Linked DNA regions of Lepisosteus oculatus. The protein of the gene in region 1 purifies or fractionates together with the protein of each later gene. This does not show direct contact. Links are inferred from orthologs where the notes say so. Each region holds a gene or a part of one and is shown on either strand. Other genes may lie near its edges.

Region 1 (8,127 bases):
CCTAGAAAACTGGAGAAATATCACATTCCAGTTTACTTGGGGTTTACAATGGCAAACCTTAACGACATAAGGCCATTGGCCTCCTGTGGCCTGTTATAGTCAGTAGCTAAATGATCCCATTTCTGTTCCAGCTGTGTTTTGAAAGCAGGCAGGGAGGGTGGAACCAGCTGTCCCGGTTGCGATGCTGAGGCCGACACCATCGCATGTTTTAAGGAACTGCTGATTCAGGCTCTTGGATCAATTAGCCACGAGTAAGAAAAGGAGCTAGTTCTCGTTCTGCACACTTTCTTCTGCTTTGCTGAGGTCCCCGATGCCGCTCCTGGGCCCGCACGCGGCCCTGAACTCGGGTCAGGTCGCCCCGCGCTAATCTAAGTGTCCAGCCGGCAGCTCGGGCCGTATCTCCTCAACAGAACTGCTTTGCAGGCCAGGACGCCTCAGCGAGAACAACAAGGCTCTCTTCTCCTGCTCCAGGCTGCACTGAGAGCTCGCCCTCCTCATCGCCTCCCTCTGCTGGACTCGGCAGAGCTGCTGCCCTGTGGTCCACAGACTGTGATTCGCCAGCTGTGACCAGGATATTCCATTAGGTGGCACAAGACTGGCAGTGTCTGAGGGGGACACTCTGATGGGCAGGACGGCCTGGCATTAGTCGGCCTGAGTCTTCTGGTCCTGTGACCTGTCTGGCGCTGACAGGGACTGGTATGCTCCTCAGATCAGCGCTGACTCCTCCGTAAGGCACCACGGAGGTGGGTGCGTTCGGAGGGGGCGCGTCTGCGAGCCGGCCTGCTTCTTGTGCGGGACAGGAGTTGTAGCCTTTAGCCGAGTCTTCAACAGCTGCTGAATCTGACTTGTGTAGTTATACAACAACAACAACAACAACAACAAAAAATCATTGGTGGTTATGAATCTGGAGATGGAGATTCCCTGTGTCCTGTGGCTTCGGAAGAATGCAAGGTCCGTGAGTCCCAAGATGGGCAGTTTCTGGCTCCTGCAACAAGGTTCACATGCAGGTCTCCAGTGATCGGCACATGGCTTCGAACCCCTGTCCAGAACCTGTGCATCTGTGGTCCACATTGGCCGGTTGTGCCTTCAGCTTCCCCAGGTATTTCCATTGTCTCTGAGGGGCTGCAAAAGCACGTGGCCGACGTCCGTTCACCCAGCCCATTCCTGTCGGAGAGGCCGGCCTCTCCCCCACACCCAGCTGCCTTCCACAGAGATCCACAGCTTCCTTCTTTCAGGGAAGGTAATGTTGTCTTGCCATTTGCTGTTTGACCATCAGAACGCCTTGGTACCCCCTCATGGCGGTACAACACTGATTTGGGGACTGATTCTCCTGGATGAGGGGCAACTCCAAGCTGAAAAACTAACTTTCAACTCCCATAGCAAAAAGACATCAGAAACGAAAATTGTCCAGAAACGTGGTTCACACCTTCCCCCTTCTCTCAATGACAGACTTTTTTTTTCGTGTAATCTTCTCTATGCACAGGCAGGTACTGACACCTCTCTCCATTTTGCACCGCCTGAGTGCCCTCTCTGCCTCCGTTCTCTTTCACCATGGAATAAACCTATCACTTGTTCCTTTGCAGCCTATGCATGCTGATCCAGCTGCCCACCTGAACTACTCTAACTGAAAACTTTGTATATATATATCCCTGTCACCCTGAAGTGTCACTTCTTCTTTGAGACAGTGTCAAGGTAGAGAATTGTAAATAAAGTGGCTCCAAAAAAAAAAACACAGGAGCACAATATATCAATCCATGGGCTATTAAGATCGCTGTTTCAATCTGTGTGCTAGTTTCGTGTCCTAAAAGTTTTTGTCATAGTTTTTCAATCTTTTTTTAAAAAAAAATCTACAGTTGCAGCAGCGCAAACGAGTGAAACCCGTTCTGTCGTCTCCACACGGAGCGCTGGCCTTGTACGCGCCAGCGACGCTTTCTCGATAAGCGTGAACTGGGAACAGAGAAGGCTTGTTGATCTGCACCGAATTACAGCCAGTATTTTACAACAAAGGATGGTTTATTTTAAAAGGAATTCACAAGATGAATGCCATATGCACTAGGAATAGCCGCCGAGGAGAAATACAAAGTCTAGGAGTGCAGATATCGGGCTGCGGAGAGGCACGTGTATTTAAAACATGTCAGGACTTTTTATATCAGAGATGCGACTGAGCGGTGATATTTTATATTATATCTAGTTGTAGAAAACAGAACTGTAGGCGCAGAATTCAACCGCAAGATGCTATAGTTCATTCTGAATGCGGAAAATCCGTCGACTAGTTACAGGAAGTAGGGAAACTGAAGCTTCGGATTTTTTTTTTAGCTGCACGATAGAACAACGTTATCATTATACACATTAACACTATATATTAAAGCGCAATGAAAAGATTTGTTGAGCTCAAGAGCCCTATATATATATATTTATTTATCATTGTCAAAAAGCGCGATGATGCTTTGACACGGCTTGCCTGGCAAACTTCCTGCCATGATGCGCACCTCTGTCTTCGTACTTTTAACATGTTTTTTTTTGGGGGGGTTAACCTGCGACCAGCGAAACGGCCGTGCAAGAATTGAAGCCAGGATGCGCAATGCACTCCTCGGGCGTGCGGATGATCCCGCCATCCCGCCGTGCGAGCGAGGAGGGCAATCGTGACGCGCTCGCCGCTGGGTTTATTATTACCTTCTGCACAGAGCCCGGCAGGAGCCTCTCCATGAGCCTGCAGAGAACCGCCCCATCTCTCAACGACGCCTTCAGAAATTCCTCCGGGTCCGCGATGTTCTTCTTCGGCGAATTCAGCACCCCCAAAGAGATGAGCCAGGTCACCGTCTGCTCTTCTGGGTTCATCGCCACGCCAGGGCTGGATGTGCAGTCGCCCCGCAGTCTGTATCGAGAGCGGCCCCTGCTTGTTCTCAAGATATAACCCACATCCGCGATATCATCATCCACTTCTGCTTTTGTCGTCTTGAAATCGCAGCGCCGAGCGCACTACCGCTGCATTGTAGCCATCGCTCGTCCCCCCGTTATGTCTGGGCTCTGGGAGGGAAATCCGTCGCCAGGAAATTATTTTTCCTACGGGAACTTAACTTCCCTTGTTTCTTTACAGACGCCTCGCAGCGTTTGCGAGCGTGCCACTTCCCGAGCCTATCACGTTTCTGCAAACGATGCAGTGGTTTCACTCTGTGCAATCCTTGCACATTCAATTCATCACATCGCTACTTGAAAGTCGATTTTTTTTTGCTTCCTTTGGCAAAGGGAAAATCGGGAGCAACATCCGCTTCTTAGCCTAAAAATAACCCGATGCGATCTGGGAACGACCGTAAAAGGGCTCTGTGAATCCAAGCTCCTCAAACGCTCAGCAAGTAGACTAAAGTTACGTGCCAAGATAGAAAAAAATGGAAAGGCAAGAAAAAGCAAACCCTTAAAATAAAGCTGTAATCATTTAACTTAACTAAATCACGCAATGCAACATGAATAAACAAATGTGGTTGATTATGCACTGTATCTGTGTGACAGTAGGTGGGGGGGGTGGATCATGCCATCATAAAAAGGCTGTGCAAGAAAAAAAGGATGATTTAAAAAAACTGCCTTTAATCAACATGAAAATAGGCTGAACTTTATTTGTTGCATAAGTAATGTAAGGTTGCCTTACATAAGGCCACCTTATTTGCCTTCAGCCAAGTCCACCATTAAGTAACTACTGCAAGAGCATTATACCTGGGCCTTGAAGTTGAGAAACCATGGCACCATTTGCACAAGTAGGGGTATAAGACATGGTGCCCCAATGAAATCCCAGTTTGCACCTCCCTAAAGTTCCTCCTTCACTGGTGAAGGATGTTTTTCCACTCGACATGATCTGCTGTGCAGTGCAACTAGTGACATGATGCAGGTGTTTGTGTGCTGCATTTCAGTTGCTCACTTCCTGTATGTGAAGCATTCTGGGATGAAAAGCATTTAAAATACCAGCTTAACAGACTCCCTTCCATTTATCCCATTGTGAGAAGATCCTGCATTCTAACCCTTTACCAAAAGACATTCTTGTAATTTAATCTCTAATCAAGAAACCCTTTAGTTCCATTGTAAATTTAGTCATTGAGGCAAACAAGTCAATTTCAGTGAATTTTTATTGAAATACAGTCCCAGATTTAAACCCCACCCCATCACATAAGAGCCAGACTGCCCTCTTATCCAAAACTCAAGTACTCCTCTTCAACTTCTGAGGATGCTGCCCAAGGCCAGTCCCATTACCACAACAGAGGTCTGGTAATCAACCAACAGTCACCTGTAAATTTCAAGCAAAGATTAGAAATCAGAATTAAAACGAGTTACATGGAGTTGTTGCATACAATTTTCTGAAGTCTATTAAAGTAAATGGTTAAAAACAGTACACAAACACCAATTAAGAAAATGATTGTGAAAACTAACCTTTCAACTCTTGAGATCATTGCTGACCAACACCCAACTCATGAATGAAATCCATGACTTAATTTTCCACTTAATTCACAAACCGCAATTTTCATCCTGTAATGAAAAGACAACATTAATACGACAGCATAACATTAAGTAGGGCAAATTTAAAAAAAAATGAAAAAAAAAGGCTCAAGTCCTCATCTTCTGAGCAGTTTTAGGCTACGATCCAATTTGTTTTTGATCCATCATTTCCAGTTTTGTTCCAAGTAAGGATATTCCATCAGAGGTTTCATTTCCTTTTTTCCCCAAAATGGATATTTCTGTATTTATAAGCACGAAGACTTGCAGAAACTACAAAAACTAATGACTCCTTTACATTATACAAAGGCCTCAAATCCTTTGAGCTTTTCTGGGCTTTAGGGTTTAATGCAAATTCCAAAAGATGAAAATACAGTTAAAAATTTCATATGGTGCTCTGCAATGACCATTTTCAAGGACTAGTCTTTAAATTAAAAAGACTTGGGGTATCGGGGCTTGCCGTTCTGCAGCATTTTTTCCTACAAAGGTTTGAGTTGAGCTGAGGCGATACTTTCAATAGTGATGTTGCAGTTTACAGCACCAACCTTTGCGGAGATGGCTACTCACGTGAATGAACTGAACCCTTCATTTAGACGAGGGGGGAAAGAAAAAGTTTGCTTTGCTTACCATCTGTTGTCACAGGCAACTTGTTTAAATCTGTTGAGTGTTGAAAAGATTCGGTTGCGTTTTGGTTGTCAGGCTCTTTGGTAAGGTCGTAGTAAGCCACCATTGTTTATTCATTATGGTGAAGGATCCTTTTCAAACTGAGGAAAACTACACCGATAAAGAGTTTGGAACAGTAACATTTGCCTTTTTTTTTTTTGCAATGAGACCACAGGGCCACTAATGAAACTGCAGGAGCAAAATTCTAGATAACAGCATTCGCTAATATGTAAAAAGGTCCAATAGTTCTTATTTTGGTCAGTATTTTGGGTTTCGGACTGTTGGAATTTCTTTAACAGAAGTAAAGCTTTGAAAGGCAAATGCAGAGTTGTGCATACACTTAATCGATCTTTGGAACATCCACGAGCTTCGCTCACAATTGTCGATATAAAAACTTTATTAGTAAATGAAAAGGCATGTTATTCCAGGGAATTGCAGCAAGTTTTAACAGCACTAGTGTACAAAAACCAAAAACAGAACACTTATCACTTTTAAAATGGCTTGCACTATCAAGGGGAGAGGGGCGGGTGGGGGGGGGGGGAAAATAAAATAAAACTCATTTAAACATTTCACTTTACTCTTCTCAAACGGAACAGTTATGGTAGTGAAGGGGAGAGGAGAAAAAAAGCTCAACAATAAATAAACGTTATTGTTGTCCACCAAAGTTCAAATCGCCATTTTTGATTTTTCTTTTTCCTCTCCGAGAGCAAAGCGGTAGGCCTGTACAAGCAAGTCATTCATGTGGTCCGTTTTAGTATCGGCTTCGGGCAATTCCTCTATCGGAACGGCTCCCCCCCCGGCCGCCGCCCCTGGGCGCTCCGCGGCTCGAGCTGCTGTACGTCTCCCGAGGAGGGTAGCCTCTCTCAATCGGGGGCGCGGGCCCCCTCTCCTGCCTGCCAAGTCGCTCTCCGCGGCTGGCGGAGTACGGGTCGCTTCTGCTGCTGGGGTAACTGTCGCGATTCCCATATCCATCCCTGGAACTGCTGCCATAGTCATCGTAACGACTGCTTCCGCCACTTCCACCGTAGGAGGGTGGGGGCCCCCTTGAGGGCGGGGCGCTGCGCGAGTTACCTGCAGGGTCAATGGGTCAGGTAATTGGCAAGTTTATCACTTAAACATTTTCTGCAAGTTTTTTTTTTGTCTTGTTTTTTTTTTTTTTGGTTGTGGGGTTTTTTTTTTTGTGTGTGTGTTTTCTCCTTCCTAACACCTCCATTCTGGACCAAGTTGATTTTAACTTGTTTTTTTCCTTTTAAAAACGGACCTTTCGTTTAACGTGAAAGGAATGTGTACTTCTCAAAACTTTAAACACTTGTCTCTCCCCCAGGTAAAGCTATAGCTTTGTTTTGACTTGCAAATAAGACTTTGGACTGGGACAGGTGGATGGGGGCACAGATTGCCTATACTGTATCCAAGATACCCAAATTAGGGATTTTCGGGGTGGGGGGGAACTGCAACAATGACGAAACCCCTGCAACATGCCAGTGTACTTTTTTTTTTCCTTGAGCAGCGGCTTGGGATTTCCTCTGATGAACTCCAGCTTTAATTTAGCGTAGGAGACTGACAACTTTTTTTTGGCTTTATTTCTTGAGGTTGCTTTTTTTTTTGGACCGGGCGCTTTATAAATTACATTTCCAGAAATCGGTCACCGTGCAAGGTTCCTTGTAGAAGTGGGCATTTGCTGAGGCTCTCTTTATTGAGCTCTGTTCGGGTCTGCAATTCATTCTGCACTGGTTTTCCCCTTGGAGGAGTTTGAGACATCAGACGCATTGTCTCCAGGCCAACAAGAACCTTAAACGTGCACAACAGGCGTCTTCCCTACTAGGACAGCGTACCCAGACACCACAAAGTACATAGTCTTACCGTAACCATCATAAGGATCTCTGTAGGAACCAGCACTTGGGCGATCTAGGTAACCCCTGGGTTCACGTCCTCCACCATAGCTGTCACGGTCACTTTAAAATACAGAGACTGGTCAGTTCAAAGTGCACTTGTCTATCTGAAAGCCAGAAACCTTAGCACATACGAAATCTTGACAACCTCGCTGAAGCAACAATACCTGTAGCCACGTGACATCGACCCATACTCATCACGGGAGCTGGAGTGTGGATATTCCCGATACGCATAATCCCTTGGGGGCGGAGCATAATCTCTCGTATCCCTGGAACTAATGTAATCCCGACTGGAATAGCTAGAGGGAAAAGAGCACACAACGTTAGTAAAAGCCAGCCACAAAATTGAGCTCATACACAAACAATCGAGAGTAATTTAGGCATCTTCTAGCTTTACCTGTCTTTAGTGCTGTAATGATCATCCCTTGGAGAAGGATAATCATCTCTCCTGGAAAGCATGGCATCTCTGCGAGGTGGTGGTGGGCCATAGGGGTCTCTTTCCCGAGACATGGGAGCTGAAGGGAAAAAAAGATTACACCAATCGGTAATGATCCAAGGGGTCAGAGATTACATAAACCCCAGCACGGCCTGCCCTTTGCCACAAATACCGACTACACCTGGAACAAGGCTTCCCAAGATCAATGCTGTTTTCACGTCTTGCACGCGCCGTCACTTTAGGAAGAAGTAGCGTTCCGACACGCACACGGCCAAGCACGCGCAACCCACCGGATCCTGTCAAAAGCAGCGGACCAGTTCAAGACCCCGTATGACCCTCCATCACAAAAACAAACTCACACCAACCCATTGGTCCCGACGGCGCGGATCTCTTCGGTGGGGGTCCCCCGTTGCGCAGGGGGGGTCCTCTCTTCATCGGCGGCGGGCCTCTGGATGAAATCCCCTTAAAAAAGGGATCTAAAAACTCTTAGTTCTTTCAGTTAAGGCGACACCCCCAAAACCACATCCTGCCCCCCCCGCCACCATGCCCTGTAAGCTCAGAACTTCTTAGAGGACAAACAAGTTGTTTCAGCTCATTTGATCAAAGTCAATTGTTCCATCACAGCCTACACAAGAACTTAAATGCAGCCCCCCCTCCCCA
Region 2 (7,789 bases), on another chromosome or scaffold:
AGAAGATCCTAGTGACCGATGTTACATTTTACCAACAGATTAACGTTTCGAGGACTCGTGCAGCCGAGAGATTAATTTACCCCCAAAGGTTCAACAGAAGAAAAAATTAAATACATCTCACAGGCAATACACCCTAGGCCTTCATCTCCAGTTGTTTATGCAGGTAACATCTTGGGACACCAAGGAATCATTTACCTTTCCCTTTTTCTGGAGCAGCATGGAAATTGCATTCTGAATCAAAATACATATCACAACCCTGAATTCAGTAATGATAATAACATTTAGTGCAGTTTAAACAGGACTGTTTGGTGCAGCAGTACCACTGTTTAGTGATGGTTTGACCAATGCATTTAAATTAAACTGATGCTAGTGGTTGTTGGGGCACCATGGGACCCTCTAATTTACTGTAAGTGGCACCATACTAACAAAAACTGACATTGTCTGTCCTGGGCTCTAAAGCCTTATTAAACCTCCCCCAACGAATGAAAGAGAAGTTCCATTAAAGCACAACAGGTGCTCTACTACAATTCAAACAGAGAGCAGAATGGCTGTAATAATGTCTGAACTGTGAACCCAGGGGCACTAGCTGGAGAGCACTACCGTGTTGTATAGCACCTAGCATCAGCTGCTGTCATCTGCCAAGTTTTGAAAGCCAGCTGCTGGCTGGCTATGGAGCCTGGCGATATGTTCTACAAGCCGATGAGGCCAGCTTTCATTTCCAGGAGGACCGTCTCCCCCCGTGTGCCTGCCACAAAGCCTGCACTAGAGTGACTGTTTACAGGAAAAGGGGACTTTGAGCCTTTGTATTTGCAGCAGTCTATAAAAGGAAATTCTGAACGGTGCTTCCTGGTGTGAGGTAACCTGCCCCCTTCCTTTCTGTCTGCGAGTCCCATTTCCCCTTGGTGCCTGGTGAAAACAGTGCGGTCTCTCTCTCGGCAGACACATGACACTACTACTCGACCCAGAGGCTCCCTGGGCAGTTCTCACTGATGGAGTGTGTGTACCAGCCTATCTGCTGTCCATCAGCTTTCTGCATTGCTTCACACCCGGGATACACCGCCACCAACCCCTCACGTAATTTCCTCCAATTCCTCTAAAAAACATCTACAAGGAAAAAAAAAAAATCACATTTTTTGCAATCCATGCCCAACGTTTTACCTCGGCTCTGTGTGGCGACAAACTCCAGGAACTCCCTTTTTTCAATAAAATAATGAAAAGAAAACAGACACTGCCATGATAAAAAAAAAGTACATTGCTTTTTGTTTTCACCAAGGTTACAATGGGCTGGCTGAACAGAAGAGGTTATTCGTTTAACACTACCTATCCAAAAGAAAGCAGGTTCCCTATAACATAGAAATGTACTATACTGTTATGCTACAGACATTCAAGTTCAAGTGAAAAAACTGAAAAACGAAAAGTAATGCAATATAGCCAGTGTGGTTTTAACTGGCAAGTTCTCTTTTCTTAGAGCTCTGGTTACTCCACTCACTGAGAAATTGGGCCCTTCTTCTGAACAAGGATAGTATTTTCAAGTGGGCTTAATTTCAAACCATATATACAAACATTACATCACACCGTGTGTGGGAATATTAACACAGGACAGGCAAGACTACATCATACCTATAACCTGCTTCAGCTGTAAAGAAAATGGCCAATAATCCTATAACTTTTAAAAGCAACCATGACTTTTCTTCTAGGAACTCTGCATACTCTGTGTAAAAAACATTTGGCCAGGTGTGCAGGACATCAAATATGGACATAAAACTTAAAACTGTTTATTCAAAATGTAACTAATGAAAGGTTTTGTGCTGTGCTAGTGGCTAAACACATGACTTTCATAATGAGGTATTCGAATGCAGTGCTGCAGTGTCAAGAAAGCACTATCTGCCAATCTTCTTAACTAAATCTCCAGCAAAACATCAGAAACACGCAAAACAAACCTTTTGTTAAACTAGTTCAGGTGGGGAGCTGCGTCAGCATGCGTAGGCTGCAAAGGAACAAGTAATAGGTTTATTCCAAGCTGAAAAGAGAAGAAAGAAAACAACGTTTCTGCAACATTTCGGCTGTATTTCTCACACCTGAAGAAGGCTTCACAGCCGAAACGTTGTGTTTTCTTTCTTCTCTTTTCAGCATGGAATAAACCTATGACTTGCTCCTTTTGTTAAACTGCACTGAACAGCTGATAAAACTCAGATTAAACAGTCTTTGATCAGTTTTGGGGTTTGCAAGCTGTCTTCTCACATGGGTCACCAAGAATGTTTTCTTTTCTTAGAAAAAAAAACACATTACCTCTCGTGGCTGAACATATACAATTTGGGCCATAAATACTTAACTCTCATTAGAGCTTGCACCTTGAACACCAGAGATGGATTAAAATGTATATGAAATAGTGGTCTTCTGAGCTCTCCTCCATTATTTACGATTTTCCTGTATTAAAAAGAGGGACTGGGGAATGACTTATTGTACCAGTCAATATTCTCGTGTATTTCCACCATCCCGTATTATAGTTCACAAAATTAAGTTGAAAATATGATTAATAAAGTAAAATCAAAGAACTGCAATTCGGTGTTAAGTGCAATGGAAAAACGGATAACATTCATTGTCACATTCAATATTACATTAACTGAAATCAGTCGTATCTTGAGTGCTGTTATAATAAAAATTTCCAATGGTGATACATAAACAAGAGTGGAAGGAAAAATGCCAAATATCTCCACTAAAAAGTGTTTTTAGATTATTTTAAATCCTGTTTGTGCAAATTCACATTGAGAGAGCATACACCTGTATTGTTCTTTTTAGACAAAATAAACTATAACCGATTTTTTCTGCTAAAATAAATGCCAGTGACATTTGTCGTCTGTTAAATAAATTCAAAGACTACTTGCAACAATAAAATACGTAATGAAATACGAGACTTTTCACCGATTTCAACTCTTCTGTAAAACTTTTTATATCACGTTTCCGACATAAAGAAGCTACCGGTGTCCTGCCAAATATCACATTCATGCAGTTTCTCGGCAAACATAGTATTTTCGAAACTTACACAATCCAATTTATAAAATATACGAACACCAAAGCAAGTTAAATAATTAACTTCAGGACTCACCAGGCGAAACTCTCAGCTCCAAACTTCCACAAAACTCTTTAGATGCTAGCTCCGCCTCCTACGAGAACCGATAATCAAGAGTTCAGATATCGTTTTTTTAAAATACCACTATTTGAGTGCACTCCCCTTCCCAAATTCTGCCAATACAATATCCAAGCAATTTCTTTCTTTTTCTTGCGTTCCTTTTATATTCTTTTATCTTCTTAGACCGGGACAAACCCGCAATGGCGGAGGGGAAGCGGAACTACCGACCCAACCCAGTGTCGGATGACATTAGAAATTACAATCTAATTGCAATCTGTGTTTTTTTCTTCAGGAGGAATTTTTAACGTTTTAACGTGTGTTGCCTGCTCACTGAAACAAACCCACACGTTTGTAAAAAAAAAACTAATGTTCAGAAAACAAAGACAGCGGGTCCCTGCAGCGCTTCGCACGAAGAGCACTATGGGAGATGTAGTTCTCTCTTCCTCTCGTAGCGTTTTCTGGAAATAGGGCGGTGAAGGAGTCGGGACTGCTTTTCCCAGGAATACACAGAAAGGAGTAGTGTAGGATGTATGAAAGGGAATTGTAGTTCTTTCAGAGTGGTACAACAAGTGCAGGGCATGGTTTTAGAATGAAGTAATTTCACAATTAAATCGAAGCAAACTTTATATACCAGCTCCAATATGTTAAAAGTGCCACCAAAAGCATTCCAAACTGCTCTACAAAAAACAACAGTAACGTAGAAACGAATTAATACTAGGCCTGGACCTGCACATGATCATTACTGATAGCACAACACTAGTCAAATAAACATGATTTTTTGTTCCAAGTCATAATTCCCCTATGACCATTAAATCCACTTAAGGTGAATATGATGTGGATTTTATACATTAATGTTACATTTTTAGTATAATGCATATTTTTACTTTTTGTTTTTGTAAGTTTGAATGTGAAACATAGTTGCAAGGGTGCAAAACAATTTTCCCAACAAATGTTACAGAGTATTAATGAAAGACAGGGAAAAAACTGCTTCAGCTTTGAGGCCTTCTTCAGCTGTGAGCAAACAGATAGTTTAATGTATAAAGAGCAACAAAGCTTGACACCATTTTCGAGTTTTTATTTACTTTTCTGACAAATACAAAACTCCCACACTTAAAGAGATATGTCCACCCAATGCAATGCTAACATGCGGTGTACACGCCCAAAAGACAAATTCACACCAGATGTAGTGGCTGATTATTCTTAGTAGTGGTAGTAGTTTTGCATATCTGTCATCATTTAAGTTTAAACAGAGAATCTACAAATATAAATATGAAGCTTTTAGAATAAATTATTATACATCAGATCTAATGTTTAAAATCCTTTGTCCAGGCAATCACAAACACTTTGGAAAGTCCCTTTGAGGACCGGGCGTCAGGTCCCCTGGCTGACAGGGGGACGAGACTGGAGGAATTCATTTCTCCACACGGCCCCTGCAAGGTAGCCACAGCTCAGCAGGGTCACGAGCAGGGTGGCAGCGGAAACCAATCCAACCAGTCGCATGTCCCCCACGGGGATCTCCAGGCGCAGCGGCCCAGGCTCCTGAAGAGAGTGAGAAGATTGGGCAGCGAAATTTATTTCAGTTTCCGCACAGACCTGATTTCTTAGTGAGACATCAACAGTTTTTTGTTTTTTTTAAGGAAATCGTTATTGGTAGAGTTCTTGGTAACTGAACCCAAGTCATTATGGCCTCCCCTGGTCAAAGTCTCCATATGAGCGGTTTGAAGCTCATCAAACAGATGCCAATGTTACACCCAAATTATCAAGACGGCAGGACAGTACCATGACCAAAGCACCCGAGACAGTAACTATTTTCTGAGACCTTCCTATTTTGCAGCCAGCAACATATCCCATGCTTAAAACTTAAAAATATCTTAGGAGCACACCCAGTAAGAGAGGATAAACATGCATAGTCATTTCTTAGCCCCAGCAGTAGGACCACAGTGACAGACTGGCGACAGTGTACCTGTGCAGAATGTATCTGCAGCCATCTGCACATGCTGTGATTAAGAGCTGTACAGGGGGCGTCCGTCAGTGTATAAGGGATGAAGTTCGGAGGCAGATCACCTGCAAAAAAGCACAAAGGGTCTGCTTTAAGAGGCACGTGTTTTTCTGTACTTTGAAAATACTACAAAACAGTAAACAGCACAAGGAGTAATGTGCTTTCAGGTACAGGATGTTGTACAATCTTTAAATTTAAAAACTTATTCCAAAATGCAAAGTAAGGTATTAATTCCCACTTATTACTTACTAGTAAGTTTTAAGAACAACCCAACAAAGCACAAAACAGAAATGCAATTATATAATGAGTGAAAGCATTGATTTGTATTTTATATTGTTGAGGAAAAGCACTTGTGTTGTATGTGTAGATGTGTTTTCATCATCAGATGACAAGGCAAACAGGAAATAAGACAATTACCCCAAAAGCATGTTTATTAGTGAGTACGGCTCCACAGCTGAGCCTTTTCTGTAGTCTTCAATTTTCTGTAATTTGATTGGAGTGACCGATTCATATTTTTCTGAAGGTGATAACGGATCATGCATTTATTTGAAATTACTCAAGAAGGCTTCTGTTCCTGCTTTGAAAGCTTTTAACATCAGAGACAGACATGTTATTAGTCTGCCCCTGGTGAAACATCATAAAGGCAAAAAAAACTGCTTTGCAAACTGACACACATAGGTCACTATATCAAGAAGAAAGTGCTGCCAGACACACAGACCCGAGGACTCACAGGAGTCTGCTCGGAGCAGCAGGTGGGGGTTCTCGATGTCAATCGGGGCAGTTCTCTTCCCGGAATCTGAAGGACGATGATAGCGCCCATGGATTGGCACAACTGCCTTCAAGCACACAGGAGATGCAGGGTCCCGTGTGGGATAAACTAGGGCAGGAAACGCAGAAGAAACATACGCCGGGGCTTCCACATCAATTTCTGTGTCCAGAAGCACCTGCACAAGGAGATGGAACCCTGTCAGTCCAAAAGAACTGTAAAATTTGCCACCTGATCTCTTTAAAAAAAATGTGGGGCTTCTAAAAGATCTCCGATATTTAATGTGACATAAATGTACTAAAATAGTTATGCATGGTCATGTTTTTTGTTGTTTTTAAAGAGAGTCTTAATCATTTGGCATTTTTAAATCGCTCAATTAACTAGCACTAACCCCCAAGGCATTTTTATGAAATCACCTGACATGAGCTCACCTACCTTATGCAAGAAACTACTGTCCTTAAAATGAAATGAATGCATGTGCCCAAAAGAACTGCTGGTGTAAAACTCAGACCGTGACAGGCACAGCAAAAAAAGTTACAAGCAGAGGTTAATTCCACTCTGAAAAGTAAAACAAAACAGGAAAAGATTTTGGCTGTGGAGGTTTCTTTAGACTTGGCTCTACCTCTCCCCCACCCTAAAAAGAGGCTTCACAGATTACGTTTTTTTTTTCTTTTGTTTCAAAAAGACTAAAAAATTCAAGCAATAGCTTCCTTGTAATGTTGAAATGGAGGGGAAAGAAGATGAAACTTCAGACTAGTACCAGGAGAAAGAAAATCCTCTATACTCCGTATTTGGTGCAGCAAGTTGTGGTTACCATGGTGTGATCCTACTCTCACTACTCCTGTAGTGCCTGTTACCTGTAAGCCAGTGTCGTGTTGTTCTGATGTTAGCTGGTAAGGGTCAATGTAGATTCCTTTGGGAAGCCTCTCCACCAGCAGGAAATGCAGGTTTTTGGGAGACCCCAGGCCACAGCATACACTGGTCACAAGCTCCCTAAATATAGAGCCACAGACTTCAATATTTCACACATATTGCTTACTGAAACTGAGCCATAATGCCCACGGCACATTAATGAAACAGCATGACTAAATCTCACTTCCCTGCTCACAATACAGGTGGCTCACAATACAGCACTGTGTTGTTGTGTTTATAGGCAACTGAAAGATGTATTTCCACAATAAGCAATCACCTGTGAAAACCATTTTTCCTGAGTTCCCTTGACACTGTGAGTGATTCCAGCCATTCCCTTGTGAAGCCACATCTTTCTTCTCCTGCAAAACAGACATCCAGTTACATACCCCAAAACCCCATGTTAAAAAGTTCAAATTAATTTCTGTTTACAATCTTTTATGCTAAGAAGCAGGTGATCAAAGTGTATGAGCTTATCTGTGTATCAAGGTGTATCACTTTGAATATAATATTTAAAACTGCTTCCCAGTAGGTAAATACAAATAAACTTAAATACTGTCAATGCATTCACTGCAAATGTGAAAACAAATGCTGTCAAATTCATGTCCTGTGAAATCAGTTCACTTGGCTGTTCAATCTACTGGATTTTTAATAATACCAGAAATGTAACTAAAATTGGGGAAAAAAAGCGAGAACATTCAATCGATTTATAACTACAATTTGAGTAACACGTAGACTATATTCTTGGGGCAGAATTAATCCAGATCAGACGGTATAATTAACTCAGACTCAGCGTCTCAGGAACAAAAGAATTCACTTCTCGATTTCAAATACAACGTTAGCGTCTTGAAACACGTCAATTGGAACTGCGATCTGTCGTGTTTTTAAAGAGCCTTCAATGAACTTCTGTTAAAAATCATACACATGCGGGTTCTCTTTACAAGGTACAAAAAACATTAGGATTCATTTGAATAATTGGTCGTTG

The links. The genes of interacting proteins can lie anywhere in the genome.
Region 2: the proteins of arhgef6 (region 1) and pak2b purify together in Homo sapiens (affinity purification with mass spectrometry; 3 studies listed by BioGRID and IntAct, counting the BioPlex papers as one, with this or other methods). This does not show direct contact. The link is inferred for Lepisosteus oculatus from reciprocal best matches to the Homo sapiens genes ARHGEF6 and PAK2.

Annotation. Positions count from the first base shown.
Region 1 is NC_090703.1:49,178,877-49,187,003, forward strand, and holds the start of arhgef6 (rho guanine nucleotide exchange factor 6), read right to left. Parts: upstream 3,165-8,127; 5' UTR 2,839-3,164; coding exon 2,674-2,838; intron 1,754-2,673; exon of another isoform or gene 132-1,753; intron 1-131. Other genes in the region: rbmx (RNA-binding motif protein, X chromosome), read right to left, coding at 5,894-6,213, 7,003-7,094, 7,199-7,330, 7,429-7,546, 7,827-7,943. UniProt on the Homo sapiens protein: Acts as a RAC1 guanine nucleotide exchange factor (GEF).
Region 2 is NC_090708.1:10,585,224-10,593,012, reverse strand, and holds the start of pak2b (serine/threonine-protein kinase PAK 2b), read right to left. Parts: upstream 3,374-7,789; 5' UTR 3,107-3,373; intron 1-3,106. Other genes in the region: pigx (phosphatidylinositol-glycan biosynthesis class X protein), read right to left, coding at 4,502-4,669, 5,094-5,194, 5,860-6,073, 6,753-6,888, 7,085-7,166. UniProt on the Homo sapiens protein: Serine/threonine protein kinase that plays a role in a variety of different signaling pathways including cytoskeleton regulation, cell motility, cell cycle progression, apoptosis or proliferation.